Canis lupus familiaris: one gene and its partner. The protein of the gene in region 1 purifies or fractionates together with the protein of each later gene. This does not show direct contact. Links are inferred from orthologs where the notes say so. Each region holds a gene or a part of one and is shown in the gene's direction. Other genes may lie near its edges.

Region 1 (4,117 bases):
GCGAAGAAAGTCCCAAGGACCGGCAAAGCCCGGTAGACCAGCCGCACGATGGCACTGAGCCTGAGCCAACCGTGTCTTTGGATCAATCATCTGGACCAGAGGGACAAGACGTAATCGATCTGGAGCTTTCCACCCCACTGAAAACCCTGAATGGTGACCTCAGGAAAGCAGCGGTCGTCAGCCCCATCCCCTGGCCCTCGGAGCGTTGGGAGGCGTGGCCCACACTCTGCCCCGCCCAGGTGGCTGCGTGGTTCTTCGCTTCACTGGCCGCGGTCGCAGAGTCCCTGTTCCCGGTCCCGGGGGCCCCACGTCTGGTCCACGCAGCGCGCCACGCGGGGTTCACCACCGTCCTCCTGGCGACGCCGGGGCCCCCGCGCCACCTCCTGCTCTTCGACCTAATTCCCGTAGTGTCCGTGGCCGGCTGGCCCGAGGGAGCCCGGAGCCATTCGTGGGCCGGGCCGCTGGCCTCCGAGTCGGCATCCTTCTACCTGGTGCCAGGCGGCCACACCGAGCCGCCGGGCGCCTGCGGCTGGCAGCTCTGCTTCGCCCGCCAGGAGCTGGCGCTCAAGGCGCGCATCCCCGCTCCGCTGCTGCAGGCGCACGCGGCGGCCCAGGCGCTGCTGCGCCCGCTGGTGGCCGGGACCCGGGCCGCGGCGCCCTACCTCCTGCGGACGCTGCTCTACTGGGCGTGCGAGCGGCTGCCCGCGCTCTATCTCGCGCGGCCCGAGAACGCGGGCGCCTGCTGCCTCGGGCTGCTGGATGAACTGGGCCGTGTGCTCGAGGCCGGGACACTGCCCCACTATTTTCTGAGCGGCCGAAAGCTCCGCGCGGGGGACGGCGCTGCCGCGCTGCTCGGGGCGTTGGCCCGGCTCCGCGGGGACCCTGCCGGGGCCCTGCGCGCCGCGGTGGAGGAGGCTAAGGCTGCACGCAAGGGGGGCGGCTTGGCCGGCGTGGGAGGCGGGGCCCATTAAAGACGCTGCTCCTACCCGCGTGGACAAGTGCTTCTGTTGGCCAGCGGGATGTGGTGGGGGCTGCTAGCCCCTCGCCGAGGTCACGCGCTGAGTGCCTTGGGCCCGAAGAGCACAGCCTGGAAGGCCTCCTCGGGGCTTCTCCCCATCCTCCTGCCCCGTTCCTGGCCTAGGTCGTCCCATTTCTGGCATCTCTACTCAGATCTGCTGCCAGCACACCTCCCAGCCCGGCGCATCCTCTGGCAACCATCTTCCCCAGTTTTTCTGGTCTTTTCTCTTAGGAGTCAATTGGGAAGGGGTGGGGGGGGGGTGTATATTTGCTGACAAGACGCAAAAGGAGGGTGTGGAGACCCGGGACTGATCAATTTGGCTCACACAAAATCGGAGAGATTGAGGGCCGGATTGCGCCCAGGGCTGGCTCTCACCACCACCCTCGCCTACTCCGTTATTACCCCGTTTCCCTCATTCGTTTCTGCCCTCCCAAGCCGGGCAGGAGGGACCCTCTCTCCATTCTCCCAGCGTCCGCCATTCCATCTATCCGAAGCCCAACCTCCCCTCCCATCTAGGGCTCCGTTCAGTGGAGTCACCTCCTTGTCTCCTCCTCTGAACCCCCAAGACGGGCGGCCTTGCCTCGGCTCCGCCCGCCTCCGAGACCGTCCCCACTCCTGGCCTCCGAGGAACCCTGGGGTTCCGCCCGCCCGGCTGCACTCCCCTTTTCCCGGCGTCTCCGCCCCCTGCCCCGCCCCCAGGCCGGCTCTCGGAGGAGGGAGAGCTGCTGTCGCCGCCGCCGCCTCAGCTTCTCGCTGCCGCTGCCGCTGCCGCCGCTTGGTCCAGCCGCCCGGCCCAGTGCTCTGACTTCGCCGGACCCGGGCGCTCTGCGGAGACATCCTTCCTCCTTCCTGGGGGTCCGGGGCGCCTAGCCCGGCGTTGGGGGAAGCTCGGCTGGCGAGGGACAGGGAGGGAGGAGCCTGGAACAGAAGCCAGCGCCACCCGTCGCCGGATCAACGAGACAGGACAGGTCGAGGGGCGTCGGGGAAGGAAGAGGGGGTGCTCTAGGCTGTCCCGGGGAAGATGAGAAGCCCTGTCGCAGAAAGCTCTGATGCACTCTGACTCGTAGGGGGCCTGTTCACATTCGGGAACTGGTAATAACGTGGGTGCACTCCTCTGGGAGGGGGCGTGGGATCTAAACAGCACCAGCTGTCCCCGAGGAAATTAAGGGGCAATCAGAAAAAAAAAAAAAAAAAAAAAAAAAACGGATGCTCCCTATTTCGAGGTGACAGAGGCCCTCCAGACAACCACTTGGTGTATCCACTGGGAAGGGTGGATTTGGAGGTGATTTCAAAAGGAGTGGAGGGTAACAAGGTGAGGAAAGGGGATCAGCAGCTGTACCATGTGCCACTAGAAATGGGGGTGACTTGGTGAAAACAAGGTATTGTCCAGAGACAGGGCCCAGGAACCCCTAGTCGCTGAACGGGGACAGCCTGGGTTTTCCCAGACATAGTTTTGGGGGACTTAACTGGAAAAAAAGTGGAGGATCCTTTCCATTTAGAGGGTGGCAAAGGCACGAAGGTTGGGTCCCTCCCTCACACTGACAGTGCCCCAGTAGGGATGGGGTTGAGCTAATATATTCAAAGCTAAGGACTTGAACCCTTTAGATTATAGAAGTGGATTTTGGCAGTGCAGGTCCCCAAAATAGGGTGGAAAGATGGCTGGGGGTAGTGGAACCACATCTTGGGAATTTTGAGGGTCTTCACGTTGGCCTAAGGGATCTGGGGACGGGTAAGGAAAGAACAGGAGAGGGAGTAGTTTTCGGTAGGGGCCAAAAGTCGAGGGTGGGGTCGACAGAGATTTACAGGCTGCTGGGTAGAGTGGAGCTAGAACGGGGCCCAAGGGTGGGAGCCAGCAGCTGGAGGGTGGGGAGGCCTGGGGCTTATCCTCGGGTCCTGTGGGTGAGGCGGTGAGTTGGGACCTCAGCGTCAAGAGCATGCCCTGGTGAGCGGGCTTCTCTTTGAGGAGCCCAGCGCGCTCCGGGCGCCTGCCAGTTTGGGGGTTTCTCCTCCCGGGGCGCCATGGCGGCTCTGGCCAGTAGCCTGATCCGGCAGAAGCGGGAGGTCCGCGAGCCGGGGGGCAGCCGGCCGGTGTCGGCGCAGCGGCGCGTGTGTCCCCGCGGCACCAAGTCCCTTTGCCAGAAGCAGCTCCTCATCCTGCTGTCCAAGGTGCGACTGTGCGGGGGGCGGCCCGCGCGGCCGGACCGCGGCCCTGGTGAGTGTCTGGAGCGGGGTCCCCGGGCCTGGGGTCTCTCCGCCTGGGAGGTTGAGGCCAGGGACTCCGAAGGATGGGGCCCGACTGAGGGGGTGGTCCCCGAAAGTCAAGGAGGGTGGGCCGGGACCACACAGTATCTGCCACACCGTGCCTCAGTTTCCCTTCTCTTTTGCCCATAACCCCGAGTCTCCTTGCTGTCGAAGACAAGGGGAAAGCTTTGAGGGGCTAGGTCCGGGCTCCCGAGCCTCGCGGCCCCGGGTCGCCCCCCCCATCCGACGCAGGAGTCCCCACCCCCACCGTCCGCTGCCTACGTGCCGGCTCTCGCGATTCTTTCAAAGCCGAGCGGAGGGGCCTGGGGGTTCCGGACGCCTGGGTCACCCCGAGGGTTTCTGCAGCTCCGGCAGCCCCGCCCCCGCCCCGGTTCTCCCGCTCCTCCACGCCTTGGCTCCGTTCCTGCTGGCCGTGCCCGCCTGGCTGGGCGCCAATCTCCCCAGCTCTCCCCCGGGTGTCCTTGCAGCCACCTCGCCAGCCCGCCCCTCCGAGCGCCCTCCTCGGTGACCTGCGCTCTAAGAGGGGAGCCGGCCATACCCCCAGAACCCACCCTCTCCCGGCGACTCCGAAACCCGCTCGCACACGCTCGGGGGACCCTCCGCCGCGAGGAACTCAGACCCAGCACGGGCCGAGAGACCCGCTCGGAGACTGGGGGGTCGTACCACCTGCGAGGGGGTACGAGGAAGTCGGCCGGGAGCCAGCGGCAGGGGAGGAGAGTTGTGAGGGTTGGCGCGTGGTCCCCGTCCAGGCACGGGCGGCGGGAGTCCCTCTGGCCCGGCTCCCGCCCGCGGCCGGCTCCCCGAGGGGTAGCCCCCTCGTGCCCTCCTCACCCCGCC
Region 2 (3,516 bases), on another chromosome or scaffold:
CAGGTTGCAGGAATCCAAAGGATAATTCAGTGTCATGGTTAGTAACCTCAGAGTTGATTTCTTTTATTTAGTTTTATAGGAAAAAATAGGATTAGAAAGTAGGCTGCTTTCCTGAAATGGAAATTTAGTCATGTTATCTGATTAGTTGTAGATAAGTTTTAAAAAATGGGGTGCAAAAAATTTAAACCAGAATTATTGGCCTTGATACTTAATTGTACAAAATATCAGCTTAATGTCCTATTGTGTTTCAAAAGGTTTAGTGGTTGTATTCCATTAAATTCTTCTAAATAACCTCCTTTGATTACAAAAGTAATACTAACTCATGTAAGAAAAATATGACCTGTTTAGTTTATGAAACCAAAGGAATGGGGTAATTCAGATGTATAGAATTTAGATATTTAGAAGACTTTCCAATCTAAAACAACAAGTAGGAGCAGACCATTTTCTTACGTTTTTTATGTATAACTGTTAATTAAGCTAAGGTCATACAATTACAACCTTCCAACTCTGCAGATTTTAACTTTCAAGGAATTGGTTTATTTCATTGAAAGACCATCTTTAGGAAGTGTCACTATGTCAACATCTCAATAATTGAGGATTGGATTCTGTCTGTATTTTAATTATTTATTCCTGAGTTTCCCCTGTGGAGTGTCAATTCTCTTTTCTGGTGTCAAACTTTATAATCTTTGTGGTATGTTTAAAGAAATAGAAATCTTTTTTAGCGGTGCATGTGTTGTTTTTTAGGTTCCTTTGCAACAGCATCTTGCCTGATTTGTAAATACAAAGTAGACTGTGAAGCTGTACGAGGAGATATTTTTAATCAGGTAATTTATCACCTGTATTTTAGAAATTGTGCATATCTGTGATCTGTTTCTTCTTTTGCTTTCACATTTTTCTTATTTATTTTTTTTTCTGAAAGTTTGTGATACAGAAAGATCCAGGAAGATAATGTTAGCATTGCGAATTCTGATGATCTATACGAGAACCTTTTAATCCCTTAAGTTGAAAACATTGCTCTATAAATAATGTCTCTAAAATGATGAAATTGGCTTCTTAATATCTAAGTTAAAAGCCCAAATCATAAGTGAAGTGTTGGATATATTAGAGTTTCTCAAAAAAAAAAAAAAAAAAAAAAGTCTCTCTTACTTTCCCTTTTTAGTGCCTGTCAGATTCTGAATCTTAAATTTAGTTTTTGGTAATCCTTTAAAATATTTAAAAAGTTATTATAAAAGGTATTTCATGTATGATCACTGTCCCCAAAACACAAATTCAGGAAAATAATGACAGAGAATAAAAATCATCCCGATATAAATTACATGTGCTTAGCTGTATATATAGTTAATTATACATAATTATGAGTGGAGAATAGCATATTAAAAAGGGATAATTTCTTACGTTTTTTAAAGGATTAAGTCCTGTGCATACATATATACAGATGCTTGATCTGCTGTGGACTCTTAAATATCAAATGTAGGTGTCTTCCTGGACATTATAATAGCTACATACTCAGATATTAACATCTTTGTATTTGATCGTATGTTGATAAAGTCATTTGGCATTGCCATTGAGAGTTGTATCCAGTTTTCCCTATTACTTATCCACAGGTTTTCTGTTTTCTTCGGTAATTTTTTTCCCCTAAGTATTTAAGTACACGGCCCTTTTTCATATGCTTCCACACTTCAGCTTGAAAACACATCTTTTTTTTATGTGGGAATTCTAGTTTTTTAAGTTTTTAATTTTAATTCTACTGTAGTTAACATACAGTATTAGTTTCAGGTGTACAATATAGTGATTCAGCTTGATAATTTTGAAATGTGTTCTTGCGAAGTGTGTAAATGTTGACTATTTCTAACTTGGGCTTTCCCCCTCCCCCCAATCTCAACCAAAATCTGGAACACGTAGGTGGTTCCTCGTTGTCCTAGGTGCCCAGCTGATGAGCCACTTGCTATCATGAAACCAGAGATTGTCTTTTTTGGTGAAAATTTACCAGAGCAGTTTCATAGAGCCATGAAGTATGACAAAGACGAAGTTGATCTCCTCATTGTAATTGGGTCTTCCCTGAAAGTAAGACCAGTAGCACTAATTCCAAGTAAGTAGCTGATGATTTTTAGAGAATATTTCTGTATAGATGGCCATAGGTTGTGGGGTTTGTACAGTGGACCCAATGATCTTATTCTCTTTCAGGTTAAAGAGTGGTGAAGAGCCAAACTTTACTTTTTAGCTGATACTCAACATTCACGAAGATTGGTTAATATGACATTTTGATGTAGGGGGTGTGGGAGAGGCTTATCAAAGCAGAAGTAATGTCAAGTTGTGATGTGTATGAAAAATTAAGACAAAGGGAAATAGTTCAACTTTTAGCAGAATGTATTTTTTATATGACAGGAGTTAGCTTCAGCTAATTCACCTATGCTTAGGAAACAGTCCTTAATTTTTGTTATTTCTAGTCTTAGATTATAGTTTATCTTTCAAATTTAGTTGATATTAGGTTTAATAAGTTCAAATGTATAGCTAGATATGAATGTAATCTATAGAATTGTAATATGTTAGAGAATTTGGGGGCTCAATATAGTCTTGTTTTTATAAGAATAACAGTCATGTTTTAGGGTGCCTGGGTGGCTCGGTTGGTTGGGCATCTGACGCTTGATTTCAGCTCAGAACATGATCTCCGGGTCATGAGGTCTGGTCCTGTATCAGGTTCTGTGCTGGGTGTGGAGCCTGCTTAGGATTCTCTGTCTCACAAAAGTAACAGTCATGCCTTGTCCTAAACATTGTATGTGGGGGATGCTTGGGTGGCTCAGTGGTTGAGCATCTGCCTTCGGCTCAGGATGTGATCTCAGAGTTCAGGGATTGAATCCCGCATTGGGCTCTTGTATGGAGCTTGCTTTTCCTCCTCCTGCCTATGTCTTTCTGCCTTTCCCTGTGTTTTTCATAAATAAATAAATAAAACCTTCAAAAAGAAATCATTGTATGTGGATCAGTTTTACCTATAAGGGTGTTTGTATATGAAAATGCTCAAATACAATTTTAAGTCCTGTTTACTCTCAGGAATATTTAACATGTACTCTCATATTATTTCTTTTCTCCCTCTAGTGAGGAAGCAAGGGGAGAGGAAGTTAGAGGGGACTAATTCATTAACATCAGGTGTGCCCTAAAGATGAGAGAAGAGAGGAGAGAGAGAATATTGAACTTTTAAGGATTTTATTATTTTAGAGCATGTGAGAGCAGAAGGAAGGAACAGGAGGAGGGAGAAGGAGGGGAAAAAGAATCTCAAGCAGACACCTGTACTAAGTGCAGAGACCCACATGGACTGATCTCTGATCCGGAGATGACCACCTGAGCCAAAACCAAGAGTTGGATGCTTAACTGACTGCGCCACCCAAAATATCAATCTCTTAATCAGAGAATTAAATTAGAATCCTACACGAGCAATCATAGAGCCAGAGCAAACAGTTGGAAGAAACAGGAGTTCAGCTCTACAATTCTGTATCTTTTCCCTACCAATATGTAATGGCT

What was found. Proteins that work in one complex are often made in the same cells at the same time.
Region 2: the proteins of FGF11 (region 1) and SIRT1 purify together in Homo sapiens (affinity purification with mass spectrometry; 3 studies listed by BioGRID and IntAct, with this or other methods). This does not show direct contact. The link is inferred for Canis lupus familiaris from reciprocal best matches to the Homo sapiens genes FGF11 and SIRT1.

The regions. Positions count from the first base shown.
Region 1 is NC_049226.1:32,573,703-32,577,819, forward strand, and holds the start of FGF11 (fibroblast growth factor 11), read left to right. Parts: upstream 1-1,314; 5' UTR 1,315-3,037; coding exon 3,038-3,230; intron 3,231-4,117. Other genes in the region: TMEM102 (transmembrane protein 102), read left to right, coding at 1-971.
Region 2 is NC_049225.1:19,918,923-19,922,438, forward strand, and holds part of SIRT1 (NAD-dependent protein deacetylase sirtuin-1), read left to right. Parts: coding exon 1-37; intron 38-744; coding exon 745-824; intron 825-1,902; coding exon 1,903-2,089; intron 2,090-3,516. UniProt on the Homo sapiens protein: NAD-dependent protein deacetylase that links transcriptional regulation directly to intracellular energetics and participates in the coordination of several separated cellular functions such as cell cycle, response to DNA damage, metabolism, apoptosis and autophagy.